Linked DNA regions of Rattus norvegicus. The protein of the gene in region 1 purifies or fractionates together with the protein of each later gene. This does not show direct contact. Links are inferred from orthologs where the notes say so. Each region holds a gene or a part of one and is shown in the gene's direction. Other genes may lie near its edges.

What was found. Proteins that work in one complex are often made in the same cells at the same time.
Region 2: the proteins of Traf3ip2 (region 1) and Cd40 purify together in Homo sapiens (affinity purification with western blotting, with the first as the bait; 3 studies listed by BioGRID). This does not show direct contact. The link is inferred for Rattus norvegicus from reciprocal best matches to the Homo sapiens genes TRAF3IP2 and CD40.
Region 3: the proteins of Traf3ip2 (region 1) and Ikbkb purify together in Homo sapiens (affinity purification with western blotting; 3 studies listed by BioGRID, with this or other methods). This does not show direct contact. The link is inferred for Rattus norvegicus from reciprocal best matches to the Homo sapiens genes TRAF3IP2 and IKBKB.

Annotation. Positions count from the first base shown.
Region 1 is NC_086038.1:44,606,390-44,610,741, forward strand, and holds the end of Traf3ip2 (E3 ubiquitin ligase TRAF3IP2), read left to right. Parts: intron 1-2,429; coding exon 2,430-2,576; 3' UTR 2,577-2,851; downstream 2,852-4,352. UniProt on the Homo sapiens protein: E3 ubiquitin ligase that catalyzes 'Lys-63'-linked polyubiquitination of target protein, enhancing protein-protein interaction and cell signaling. Transfers ubiquitin from E2 ubiquitin-conjugating enzyme UBE2V1-UBE2N to substrate protein.
Region 2 is NC_086021.1:174,221,789-174,225,951, forward strand, and holds the end of Cd40 (tumor necrosis factor receptor superfamily member 5 precursor), read left to right. Parts: intron 1-1,231; coding exon 1,232-1,318; intron 1,319-1,427; coding exon 1,428-1,459; intron 1,460-1,959; coding exon of another isoform or gene 1,960-2,019; intron 2,020-2,260; coding exon 2,261-2,452; 3' UTR 2,453-2,799; downstream 2,800-4,163.
Region 3 is NC_086034.1:76,052,395-76,057,394, forward strand, and holds part of Ikbkb (inhibitor of nuclear factor kappa-B kinase subunit beta), read left to right. Parts: intron 1-787; coding exon 788-912; intron 913-4,470; coding exon 4,471-4,578; intron 4,579-5,000.

The DNA of each region.
Region 1 (4,352 bases):
ACATGAGGGTGTTTATCCTCTAAAGCTTCTTATCCCACATTAGAGCCAAAGCATGGACACTTTGCTTTCTGCTCCACATAAATACTTTGCTGCACACAGTTCAACCCTCGCACCCGTGGAGTGCGGGCACTGAATCCGCACAGCTCTCTAGGTGAACCTTGCTGGGGTTCGCATGAGGGTTCTCGACATATTCCCTGCTCTAGACAGCTCTAGAGAATACAAGCCAAGCCATCAGAGAACATTCCAGGCCTGGCCGAGGGAAGACAGACGCTAAGGAAACAGCCTGAGACTCAGACCAGAGCACTCAGCTTGGGTGCAGCCTCATTCTGGAGGACTCCTAGATATTAGGACTGCACTGGAACCTCTGCTCCGCACAAGAGATCTGTTGTGGTGGCTTGAGCATGCTTGGCTCATGGGAGTGACAATATTAGGTGTGGCCTCGTTGGAGTGGGTGTGGCCTTGTGGGAGAAAGTGTGTCACTGTGGGGATGGGCTTTTGAGACCCTCCTCCTGGCTGCCTGCAAGAGTCTCTCCTGGATGCTTTCAAATCAGGGTGCGGAACTCTCAGCGCCTTCTCCAGCACCATGTCTGCCTGCAGGCTGCCATACTTCCTGCTGTGGTGATCTGGACTGAGCCTGTGAAACCGCGAGCCAGCCCCCATTAGATGTTTGTCTTTATGAGTTGCTTTGGTCATGGTGTCTTCACAGTAACGGAACCCCTAACTAAGACACAGTCTGTGTGGACAGGACACATAAGGTTGGACAATGCACAGGGCACATGAAGGGACCCCTCATCCTTGCTGGCCCTAGCTCATCCAGGGGCTAAATGCAGTTATTGACTGGCAAATCCCACCCCCAGCCGGTCTCCCCCTCCTCTGGACTCTATTCTAGCCACCTTCTGCTTCGACATCAAAGAACTCCAACTCTATCTCTCTAGTTTTAAAATTCTGTGACACTTCCCGCTGACTTCCTTAGCTCAACACATGCGGCTCTTTGGAACAGCACTGTGTCCACTTTCTCCTTCTCCCGTCGTATCACCTGGGGCCCTAAGCTTTGGTCATAACGGGGCCATGTCAGCAAACCTCACTCATGTTCTCTGTCTAGGGTCTTTGCCCCTTACTCCCTCTCCTTAAAATGCCCTTTCCCAACCTGCTAGCCTGGTGAACTCTTGCTAATCCTTGAACCCTTGCAACCTCTCCAGCTGTGGGGTTTTCTTTCCCCTCAGGCCTATGTAAAGCATTGTGACTTTCCTGAGAGCTTTGGTTAATTACAGTACGTGATTCAGTGGTACATGTTAGGGGCACTGGGACTAATTGGTTAGAGTCATTGGCTCATGCATATGTCTGTGTGTTTGTGTGTTTGTGTGTGTGTGTGTGTATGCATGGAATGCATACATAATGCAATATATATGTATATATGTATATATATATACATATATGTATATATTTGCTATTGTTTTAAAATTCCACTTGACAGTCAGTCTCCTTATGGCCAGAGCTTGGGACATGCTGGCTATTTGCTATACGATGACCTAGAAAACAGTTTATGCTGATTTTGCCTCTGTGTGAGATCTTGACTCCTCAAGACAGTTGTGACCTTTGAATTGCTTATCTTCTGCACTCAACATGAGTGCTGGCTCTGAACTCAGGCTACCATCCTCAAGGCAGCTCATCTCAAAATGCAAACCAAAGGCCTTACAGTGCTCTCCAGGCCTCGTGTGATGCAGCCCCTAGAATTCTGGCCCTCTTCATCTGCCTGCTCTGTTCTGGCCACTGTGATGTTCTTGCTTTTGAACACATGTCCATCTTCCATCACTGTGTGGCTTTTCTGAAGCACCTTCCTAGGCACGGCGCATTTCACATTTCATTTCTGTGTCGATGCTGAGCTGGTCGTGGTCTCTCCTCATCAGAATGTGTGCTCCACATGGACAGACGGTCCTGAGGGCTGTCCTAGGGGTGATGGAAATTAGCCTGTGGAACACCAGCCTCACAGCTCTGAGCTCCCTTCTGCTCCTTCCTCTTCAGGCCAGAGCTGAGGTCGGAGTGAAAGAATCACGAATTAGATTAAGCCCAGAGCGCTGGCATCCTTCCCCCAAAGCCACAGGGGAATTCACATCATTCAGTGTGACCTCAGTCCTACCCCTTTCATGTGAGGTGGTGAAAAGCACATTGACATGCAAAGGGCAGGTAGCCCAGGAGACTGACAGAAAATGCTGCACACATGTGGTTTCCATAATGAGATGCACAGCCTGCACCCGAAGCCAAAAGAGCTTCGCTCGCACGCTCCGAAAGCAAAACAGCAGCTCCCAAGACAGCTCAGTGGCGGGAACACCTATGGAGGGCGAACCGGAGCTGTTGGGAACTGAGGCCCGGACCTCGAATCCGGGCTCCTCTCCGTCCCGTGACCTTTGTTCCTGCCCTCTCTTCCACAGGAGCATGTGCCGACCTGGCTGCAGAACACTCACGTGTACAGCTGGCCCAAGAATAAGAAAAACATCCTTCTGCGGCTGCTCCGAGAGGAGGAGTACGTAGCTCCTCCCCGAGGCCCTCTGCCCACCCTTCAGGTGGTACCTTTGTGATGCCAGCCTGTTCTCACAGCATTCGTCCAGCCAAGCTGGTTGGTGGCACTCAGGCCTGGAACACCTGTTCTACAGAGTTCCCGGCCTCCTGAGTCTGAGGTGTCCTCGCCCGGCCTCCAGTGCTTCTGGGAGTGGATGTTGCAGGTGATGGCTGCCCGGACCTATGGCCACAAAAACTCTCATCACTTCAGCTACTCTTATGAGTTGGCCGGATGCTTTGTGTCCTTAGACCAGTCTGAATCGTGCTCAATTAATAAAGTGATTATTCTTTGTAAGAATGTGTTTGTCTCAGTGGAGGTGGGATTATTAATTTATACTGGAACGGGCAGCTCCCGGACATCAACAAAGCTGCTCAGATATAGTATTAGGTAAATGTGACAGAGTTCTGTACTGAAGAATTAAAACTAGAAAGTGATGTGTCCTTTTAATGTGAAAGGCTTTCTCTTCACGTTGAGGCTTTTAATGAAGCAATGCTAATTGTAAAGCTGTAATTGGGTGGGGAGTGTAGCTCAGTGGTAGAACATTTGCTTAGCACGTAGAAGTCCAGGATACAAGACTTCAAGAAGAGGAAAAGGTCTGGCCATTTATGTAAAAATATCTGAGTATATGCATGAAGTAACAGGGGCTGTGTCATCCAGGCCAGAGTTATGGTCTAGTTTTCTTTGTCCCACTCCTGAGTACCCCTGTGACTAAGCAAGTCTTCCTGCTTTTCTGGGACTTGGAAGACTTATAAAATCATATGGAGCAGGGTATTTCTAGTGAACCAGGAAGGTCTGGAATGTGGGCCTTAACCTCTAAATTCTCTTTAGAGAAGTAATGGGGTGTTTATTTTTTTAGAATCGCATCTCCCAGGGCATAAATGTAATTTTACTTTTTACTTCTGTTTTGTTCCGTTCTGTTTTTGTTTTTTTGGAGATGGAGTCTTACTATGAAGTTCTGGATGGCCCGGAATTCAATGCATAGAGTAAGATGGCCTTGAACCCATGGCGATCCTCCTGCCTTGCAGTGCCGGGATTGCAGGTGTATACCAGCAAACCAGTGTCTTGGTTACTATTTCATTACTGTGAGCAGACACCATGACCAAGGCTGTGTTTAAAAGGAAGCATTTAATGGGGGCTGGCTTACAGTTTCAGAGTCCACGGTTATCATGACCTGGAGCGTGGCAGCAGGTAGGCAGGCATGTGCTGGTGTAGTAGCTTCGAGCTTATATCTTATCCGAAAGATGGAGGCAGAGGGAGGAGGAGGGGACAGGGAGAGGAAGGGGGGACAGGGAGGGGAGGGGGGACAGCCTGGCATTGGCTTTTGAAACTTCAAAGCCCACCTGCAGTGACACACCTCCTCCAATAAGATCACACCTCCTCCTAATCCTTCCTGAGCAGTCCACCAGCTGAGAAACAAACGGTCCAAAAAATATATGAATTTGGAGTCATTATTGTTCAAACCACCACACCTGGATATATTCTAGTTTTTTGTTTTTTGTTTTTTGTTTTTCTTTTGCCGGAGCTGAGGACTGAACCCAGGGCCTTGCGCTTGCTAGGCAAGCGCTCTACCACTGAGCTAAATCCCCAACCACCATATATTCTCGTTCTTAAGTTTAAACTTAACCAGTTTTTAAAAAGCAAAAAACCAACTGATTCATACTGATTCACAATAGCAAAAAATATACCTCAATGGTTTTAACGGACTTATTTGGAGAAGTCTTTCCGTGCAGCTCAGGCTGCCTATAACTGCTTAGCCCAGGCCGGCGTGTAATTTGTAATCCTGCTGCCTCTGCAC
Region 2 (4,163 bases), on another chromosome or scaffold:
CTAACCTTGGCCCTGCTTCCGATACGAGTTTATTTAAAAGCCAGGTAGCCACCCATGGGCCTGTGCTTGTGTCACTGGTGTCTGCCTCCTGACCTATGAGCTAGGTGGAGTAGTATAGGCATGAGAACCCCAAGTTCAAGACCAGCCTAAACCACTTAGAGAGACCCTGTCTCAAAGAGGACTTACCTTTATGACTCTGTGTGTGTGTGTGTGTGTGTGTGTTTGCACCCTTTGCCTCTGAGACCAGCTGCCATTTATTTGGTTTTTTCATTTGTTACTTAGAATAGCAGTGAAGACATAAGAGATACTTTATTTCTCTCCTCCATCCTTTTTTTTTTTTTCCGGAGCTGGGGACCGAACCCAGGGCCTTGCGCTTCCTAGGTAAGCGCTCTACCACTGAGCTAAATCCCCAGCCCCTCCTCCATCCTTTGCAGCAGATGTAACAATTCAGGCGCAGAGCTGCACAACCCAGTGTGGGGGAAGGGTGAAACAGGCAGGCAGGAGGTGTCCCGTCACCACACAGCTGATGAAAGCCAGATGGGGAGTTAGCTAACTGGGGGCTTATCATCCCAACTGCACTCTTCCAGGGCTAGAGAGACAGCTCAGAGGGTAGGAGTGTTTACTGTGCAAGCATGAGTGAGGCATGACCACACCACATGTCACTGTGACCTTAATACTATGTCCTGGCACTAGAAGGAGAATTGTAGTTTGTTGCATCACAGACTAGCTCCAGGCTCAGTGAGAGACTCTGTCTGGGTGAAATATGGTGGAGCAGGAAACCCTCATCTTCCTCTGACCTCTGCATATATGCACAGGTGCACACACCTGAACACGACTAGGCTCACATACACCATAACCCCACCCCCAAAGATGGACTCTCTCAATGGATAAACATTGGCGAGTACCATAAAGTATTTTAAAAGTTCCCATAGTGGCCACATTATCCACAATGCTACTGCTCAAAAGCTCTGATATCAGGAGGCCTGAATTTTGGGAGGATAGAGCTGCTTTGGGCAGCACATGCCAGTGGGAGCACCCACCAGTGGGAGCACCCACCAGTGGGAGCACCTACCTGTGGGAGCACCCACCAGTGGGAGTATCTGCCAGTGGGAGCACCTACCTGTGGGAGTATCTGCCAGTGGGAGCACCTACCTGTGGGAGTATCTGCTAGTGGGAGCACCTACCTGTGGGAGCACCCACCAGTGGGAGCACTCGACGTCTGTCTCTCCAGGTTTCCAGCCCCGGATGCGAGCCCTGCTGGTCATTCCCGTCGTGATGGTCATCCTCATCACCATCTTTGTGGTTTTTCTCTATATCAGTGAGTACTCAGGAGGGGGAAGTGAGGGAGGATTCAGCTCTGCAGAACAGAGGCAGTGATTAATCTTGACTCGACCTCCCCATGTCCCACCCCTTCTTCTTCTCACTAGAAAAGGTGGTCAAGAAACCAAAGGACAATGAGGTAAGCCATCCCTGAGGAAGAGAAGCTGAAAGAGTGATTGGTGGGCAGGTAGGGAGGCAAATGGTGCAGGGAGACAGACTATTACTCCGTGAGCGAAGAGCTTGTATTGGATCCTCAGTGCGGATCCAATATCCATGGAAAAGGCCTCTCATGCCAACGCTGTGGCGGGGAAGTGGACACACAGATTTCTGGAGCTTGCTAGTCAGCCACTGGCTACTCCAGTTTCCAAGAGAAACCCTGACTCAGAAAATAAGGGTTGAAAGTGCAAGAAGACACAGGATATTGACCTCTGGCCTCCAATAGTGCGTACATGGGAGTGTGGACCCTCTACCCCTTGCAATACGCCCAGTACCACATTCCGCATGCGCATGCGCACACATGCACAAACAGGTTCAGGGTCTGTCCCTGGAGCACGTAGGGTGACAGTGGGCTACTCTCACCCCCACCCAACCCTGCTTCCAGTCCTCATCCCTTCCTCCTACCCAATCGTTTCCCCCTAGGGCGGAGCTGGGCGCCGGCAGAGTAACCCAGGCTGTGCTTTCCCCAGCATTGAATGCGGGGTAAGTCCCGCCTTCAGGGACCAGTAGGTGGAACCAGAGGGGCAGCCTCTCCTCCGCTGCCCGGCAGTGGCTCTGGAAATTTCCTGCCAAATTTCATGTGTCCAGCAGGGGGCAGGAGGCATCCAGGAAATCAGCTTTGATACCCCCATCCTCCCACCCCAGTGGAAGGGATTCTACTCTTCAGAGGCAGGATGGCTCTGTGGCTAGAGGTGACCTTGGATCTCATACTTTGGCTCTCCAGGTCTTACCCCCTGAGGCTCGAGGACAAGATCCTGTGGAGATAGAAGATTATCCCGGTCACAACACTGCTGCTCCAGTGCAGGAGACGTTGCATGGGTGTCAGCCTGTTGCACAGGAGGATGGTAAAGAGAGTCGCATCTCAGTGCAGGAGCGGCAGGTGACAGGCAGCATGGCCTTGAAGCCCCTGGTCTGAGCCCTGGAACTGTTTTGGAGGTGATGGTTCCGGAGCAGGGGCCTGGCTCTGACAGCCGCTGACTTTTGAAGTTTGAGAGGAGCCAAGGCAGAGCCCGGTGCAGCTAACTTTCGTGCCTGCCCCTGTCATCTCTCGACTTGCTTTTTAAAGATGGAGGAAAAGCTTTGGCGTCAGGGGTCCGCAGTAATATCTACAGAGTGCAGCAATGCAGGCCCAGAGATGTCTTGCTGCGGTTTTCACTGTAAGGAGTCGTGGACACGGGAGTCCATGACTTGTGGCTTGTGCTGCTAGAAGGCACCTGGTTGCCCAGCAGCCGGGGACTGGCTAAATAAATCTGTAATTATTTATACAACGGGGGTCTCAGAAACACTAGCAGGTGGGGCAGAAAAGAGGAAGTGGAATGATGGGTAGAGAAACAGCTTTTTAAATCACATTCCGGGCTGGAGAGCTGGCTCAGCAGTTAAGAGCACTGACTGCTCTTCCAGAGGTCCTGAGTTCAATTCCCACCAGCCACATGGTGGCTCACGACCATCTGTAATGGGATCGGATGCCCTTCTCTGGTGTGTCAAGTGACAGTGTACTCACATACATAAAATAAATAAATCTTAAAAAAACAACAATAACACACACACACACACACACACACACACACACACACTCTAAGGCAGGTGAGATGGCTTTTGTGGATAAGAGACCTTGCCGCCAAAGCTTACTGTCTTGAGGGCTGTCATTTGACCTCTATGTGTGCTCTGTGGTACATGTATGTGCACATATCTTAAGACGGATGTGATAGTGTACTGTAGAAATTATTTAATCCTGACCGGGGGTTTCTACCACTTAGTTTGTGGATGAAAGACACACACACAACCTTTATATTTCTAATAAGCCTTAAATAGCACAAGAGCTGGGCAGATACCTACCCTCTGTGCTCTAAGAATTTACTTCCCTAGCAATAACCCTGAGTTACTACTTATCATGTTCTCGTAAACTCACCTAATCCACGGTGGCTTCTCTCTCCTCCATTCACCTTCTTCTCCCTCTTGGTTCTCTTCCAACCCCAAGCCTGGGAATCCTAAACCCCGCCTATGTCTCTTCTTCCCAGATATTGGCTGTTGGCATCTTTATTTACTAATCAGAAATAATTTGAGGGTCCGGTCAGTTTGGGGGTTCTACAGTATGGACTCCAGGTCTTAGGGATCTACACTTAGCATTACAATACACAGCAAGATCAAACCTCAACAGATGTACAACGGTAACCCTAGTATTCAGAAGGAGGAGGGGAAAGAAGAGGAGGAAGAGGAGGAGGAAGAGGAAGAGGGAGAGGAGGAGGAGGAGGAAGAGGAGGAGGAAGAAGGAGCAGGAGGCTAGACTTGGATATATAGTGAATTCAAGGTCAGCCTGGGTTCCATGATACTGTCTTAAAAACAAACATTAGGGGCTGGGGATTTAGCTCAGTGGTAGAGCGCTTACCTAGGAAGCGCAAGGCCCTGGGTTCGGTCCCCAGCTCCGAAAAAAAAAGAACCAAAAAAAAAACAAAAAAAAAAAACAAAAAAAACCAAACATTAAATATCAACAACTTCTCCCAGCAACACAAAGTCACACACCCTTCAAACAATTTTTATATACGTCCTGACAGTATGTAAGCGGACTACACAATTGTATTTGAACACAGTATATATAGATATGGAAGGAAAACTATCATACCGTGAAT
Region 3 (5,000 bases), on another chromosome or scaffold:
GGAAAACCTTAGTCACCCACAGCTGAGTCCATTCAAGTTCATCTCCTCACACTTGAGTGGGCATACTGTGCGCTGTGGATGATGGCAGGAGGCTGATTCCATGAGCTGCTGGCTCTCCCGTCCAGGGCAGGACAGCATAGGCACCCCTGTGTGTTTCAGGGCAGGACAGCGTAGCCCCTCCCCCGTGTGTTTCAGGGGAGGACAGCATAGGCACCCCCTGTGTGTTTCAGGGAGGACAGCACCCACCCCCTGTGTGTTTTAGGGAGGACAGCATAGGCACCCCCCGTGTGTTTCAGGGAGGACAGCATAGGCACCCCCTGTGTGTTTCAGGGAGGACAGCATAGGCACCTCCCCTGTGTGTTTTAGGGAGGACAGCATAGGCACCCCTGTGTGTTTCAGGGAGGACAGCATAGGCACCCTTGTGTGTTTCAGGGAGGACAGCATAGGCACCCCCCTGTGTGTTTCAGGCAGGACAGCATAGCCCCACCCCATGTGTTTCAGGGGGGACAGCATAGGCACCCCTGTGTGTTTCAGGCAGGACAGCATAGGCACCCCCCGTGTGTTTCAGGGAGGACAGCATAGCCACACACACACACACACACACACACACGCACACACGCACACACGCACACACCGTGTGTTTCAGGGGGGACAGCATAGCCACACACACACACACACGTGCACACACACGCACACACACACATACACGCACACACACACACACGCACGCACACACGCACACATGCACACACACACACACACACACACACACACCCGTGTGTTCCAGGCCCCAGAGCTTCTGGAGCAGCAGAAGTACACCGTGACTGTTGACTACTGGAGCTTCGGCACCCTGGCCTTTGAATGCATCACCGGCTTCCGGCCCTTTCTCCCTAACTGGCAGCCTGTGCAGTGGTGAGTGGGCCTGGTACTGGTGGGAGGGCTATCTCGGGGAGCAGTGAGCCCCTGGCTCCATGCCTTGTCATTCAGTCCTTTTCCAGTCCCCACGTTAGGCCTGAATGGTCTGTGGTCCATTCTCCTTTAGGACCCAGCGGTTGCAGGTCAAGCGTTTCGACCTTGAGCAAGAGTGGTAACACTAAAAATGTTAGTAAATTACTGGTAAAGAGAACAGAGGTGCACACATGGCACATCATGAAGGCACACTTACACATGTAGTAAAACTTGTCAACAACACGTCTTCATGTAGACAGTTTTTACTTAAGGTGGTTTCTGAACTAGTAATAAGTTCACATGTTCTAAGCTTCAAAAGAATAAGGAAATAGAGTGGAAAAGACTGTCTCATGCAAGTTTCCATACCACCTGGTCTCTCCCCGAAGACACAGGGTAATCACTAGCCTGGGTGCTTCGTGGATGCTTTTACTTCCTGAGCAGGTGTGTCTGCTTAGTGACATTCTCTCTGTGCTCGTAACTGAGCACTGTTCTGCGTGTGCCTTGAAAGCGTGTGTGTGCACGCGCTCACACACACACACACACACACACACACACACACACTCACACTCACACTCACACAATCTTTGCCCAGAGTCTACAAGTGCTGTGAAGTTTGCCCCACATTAATTCTGCAGTATTTTGGAAGATACAGAAATAATGAAAGTCCAGAATTTGGTAGCATATATACTAAGATTAGAAACAGTCTTTTTACTTAAGAAGAATCAGCTATAACCAAATGATCTGCAAACAATCACTGAACATCCTTTCTGTCCATCTTCTTAGGAAAGACTAGCTCCTTATACACCCTTTGATATAGTCTGCGTTTCCGCTCACACTGAACACGCTGCACATCTTCCTGGGCTTTGGGAGGTCTACTCAGTCACTGTGATGTAGTTCAAGGCCGGAAGACTGAGTGGTTTATAATTGTGCTTCTTAATATAACACCACAAATAGCACCCTTGGAAAGCTGTCGTTCAGACACAGCTATTTGTCTGGTTATTTATACATTTGTGTAAACAGAATGAAGAGACTTTGAAAGAGCTCACACATTCTAAGGCTTTGATGTGTCTCGTGCCCCTGCCAGAAAAGGCTGTACAAAAGCATGCGTCTGCAGGGGTGTGCCAGTCTGACATTTTCCCTGTGCCATTCTCAACAGTAATGTCTTCATCTTTTACTCTGAGGAAAAGGGTGTTGCGGAAGGTGACCGTAACTTCTGGCCCTCCTGCTCCTCAGCTCCTAGAAGCTAGAATTAAGCATGCTCTATCACACCAGGTTTTAGTCAGTGCTGGGGATGGAACCCAGGACTTTCTTGCACACTAAGGCAAGCACTGGACCAGCTGAGCCACATCCCCATGAAAACGTTTCCATGAAAACCTGGCCTCTGAAGTCAGTTCTGGAGAAGGGTTGGGTAGTAGCAGCAGAGGTCACTTCTACAGTCAAACCCACATGGGCACAGTGCAGAGTCAGAGAGTGTCCTCTGGAAAGCCCACTGTCCGACCATAACTGCCTACCAACCAGGCTTTGGTCTTTCAAGCCTTTGGCTTCTGAAATATGGTATTTAGTTCATAGTCACACATCATAATGTAACCAGAAAATAGAATAGCTTTAAAGTGTTCGTCATATACTGACTTTAGTTAACCAAGGGATTGGTTGTTTTGTCTTCAGTTCAAACATCAACTTTTCCAAATTGGGGGGGGCTCCGTCTCTAGAACTGAAGAAGGCATCACAAACGTTGAGCTTTTCTCTGCTTATAACAAAATAAGTTAAGTCTGCATAGAACTGAGAACACCCTTAGTGGCCTGGCATCTCCACAGCTTGTCTGTTGTCTGTGAGATCTTTCCCCTAAAACCACCCTTACTTGGCTGCACAGAAGCCAAGTTCAATGGATCCCCACAGGAATCCGTCTGTGGACTGGTTGGGAGAAGACCTCCTCCTGGGCTTTTGATGTCTGGTGACATTTTCGTCCCTCAGATGACACGACCTGCAGTCAAGCAGTGCCTGTGCTGCTTGATGCACCCGTTGATAGTTCCCCACTAGCAGACGTTTTCCACAGAACCATCTTGTGTTAGTTAGAAGGCACAGAGACCCTGTCTCGACCTCCTCCATCAGCTCCTCCCCGAGCTGGATGCCAGCAGCCTTCGCCATGCAGACAGCACCTTCCATATGCTCCCTGGCTGCCCTGGATAGGACACTCACTGTTAGCCAACTGTCACTGTTTAAGGCTAAAGCATTTTGTTTTTAATGAGAACAAATCCTTTTTAGGGGAAGAATGTATTTGGACTTTTAGACACTAGAAATTATGCCAAATTTTGAGCCCTTTGTTCTGTCCCTCCATAGTTTGTCTAACATTGGACAACACATACTCTGACTAGAAATAATTTCACCACACCCGGCCACTCTGGCAGAGTACTCGGTTACTCATGAAGTGTTATTCAAATTTAAATTGTCCTTCTTCCCAAGAAGGCTGGAAACCACTGGGATTTAATTTTTTCCCCTTCCAAAACTACTTTAAATACCTTAGGAGTACACCCCTCCTTAGAAAATGTAGCTCATTTATTCTAGAGAAACCCTAGCCACACACTTTTAAAGGAAGCATGGGCCTGCTAGGTAGCTAAGTGGGTGTCCCCACGTTTGACAACCAGAGTTCTATCTCTGGAACCCTAGTGGTAGATGGAGAAAACCAGTTCCCTCAAGCTATCCTCTGAGATGCATGCCCATGTGGCAAGTGTGTGCATCCACGTGCATGAACACATACACACACACACACACACACACACACACACACACACACACACAAATAAATAAATAAATGACATTTTAAAATGAGGTGAAGTACATGTGTGCTTATTTTACATTTCAAATAAATGTGGTGCATACACAGTGACCGTGGCTCAGAACCCCAATTTTATCCTCTATCCAAACATGAGGTCTGGGTTGGGAGATGGCTCAGCAGTTAGGAGCGCTTGCTGCTCTTCCCGGGGACCTCAGTTTGGTTCCAGGCACCTACACAGGCAGCCATCAGGAAGCCTATGTCCTGCTACATACACATAAGTGTAATTGAAAATAATTGTATTTAAATGAAAGGTTGTACCTGATAACTGAAGGGCAGAGGAAATTAGAAAAATAGTCAAGAGCACTTGGTCGCGCATGAAGCCTTACTCAGATTTGAGTTGTCTCTTTTAAGCCGTCCACATAGAAGTCCACGGTGCTTCCTGGAGAACTTAGGGAGAGAGGCCATGGGTGACCTTGCTCAAGGTTGTCCTGCAAGGTCTCATTTGGACATCCCCGAGCACGTTCTGTTTACATGCTGTGGACTGAACCAGGGCCACTCATGCTACACTCACTGCCACTGAGCTAAACCCCTAACCACAGTGCAGACCACTCACAAACCCTGGGAGAGGCATCCCAGCAGCACACGGACCATTGTTCTAAAAAGCATACAGTTGTGAAGTGACGTTACAAGTGTAAGCTGGGTACTTGCCACTGAGTGACATAAAGGACATCTTAAAATGACACCCGCAGGCACTCTAAAGTCCGGCAGAAGAGCGAAGTGGACATTGTTGTTAGCGAGGACTTGAACGGAACAGTGAAGTTCTCAAGTTCCTTACCCTTCCCCAATAATCTCAACAGGTAAGGCCGTGGGGCTTCGGTCCTGAAGATACTTTTCTCCTCTTCTTAGAAATCCAGGGTTGAGGTAACAGCTGATACTTTTGATTTTATGTTTGGGTGACCAGTGCCTGTGGAAGCCAGAAGAGTAGTCAGATCCCTTGGAACTGGAGTTAGGGATGATTGTGATCTGCCTTGTGAACCTTACTGGGAACCAAACACAGCACTCTTAGCCACTAAGCCCTCTCCAGGCCCTTGGATAACTTGAACAGATATCAGAATACCATTCTGTGATGAGAACTTGACCAGTCCATCTCCACATTAGACATGGGGTGCACTCCCATATCTCATCTCCCTAGAAATCTTTTCTTATTTAATTCTTTGCTTGGTTGCTTGGTTCAATAGGTGGATGGGTGGGTGGGTGTGTGGGTGGGTAGACAGTTGTT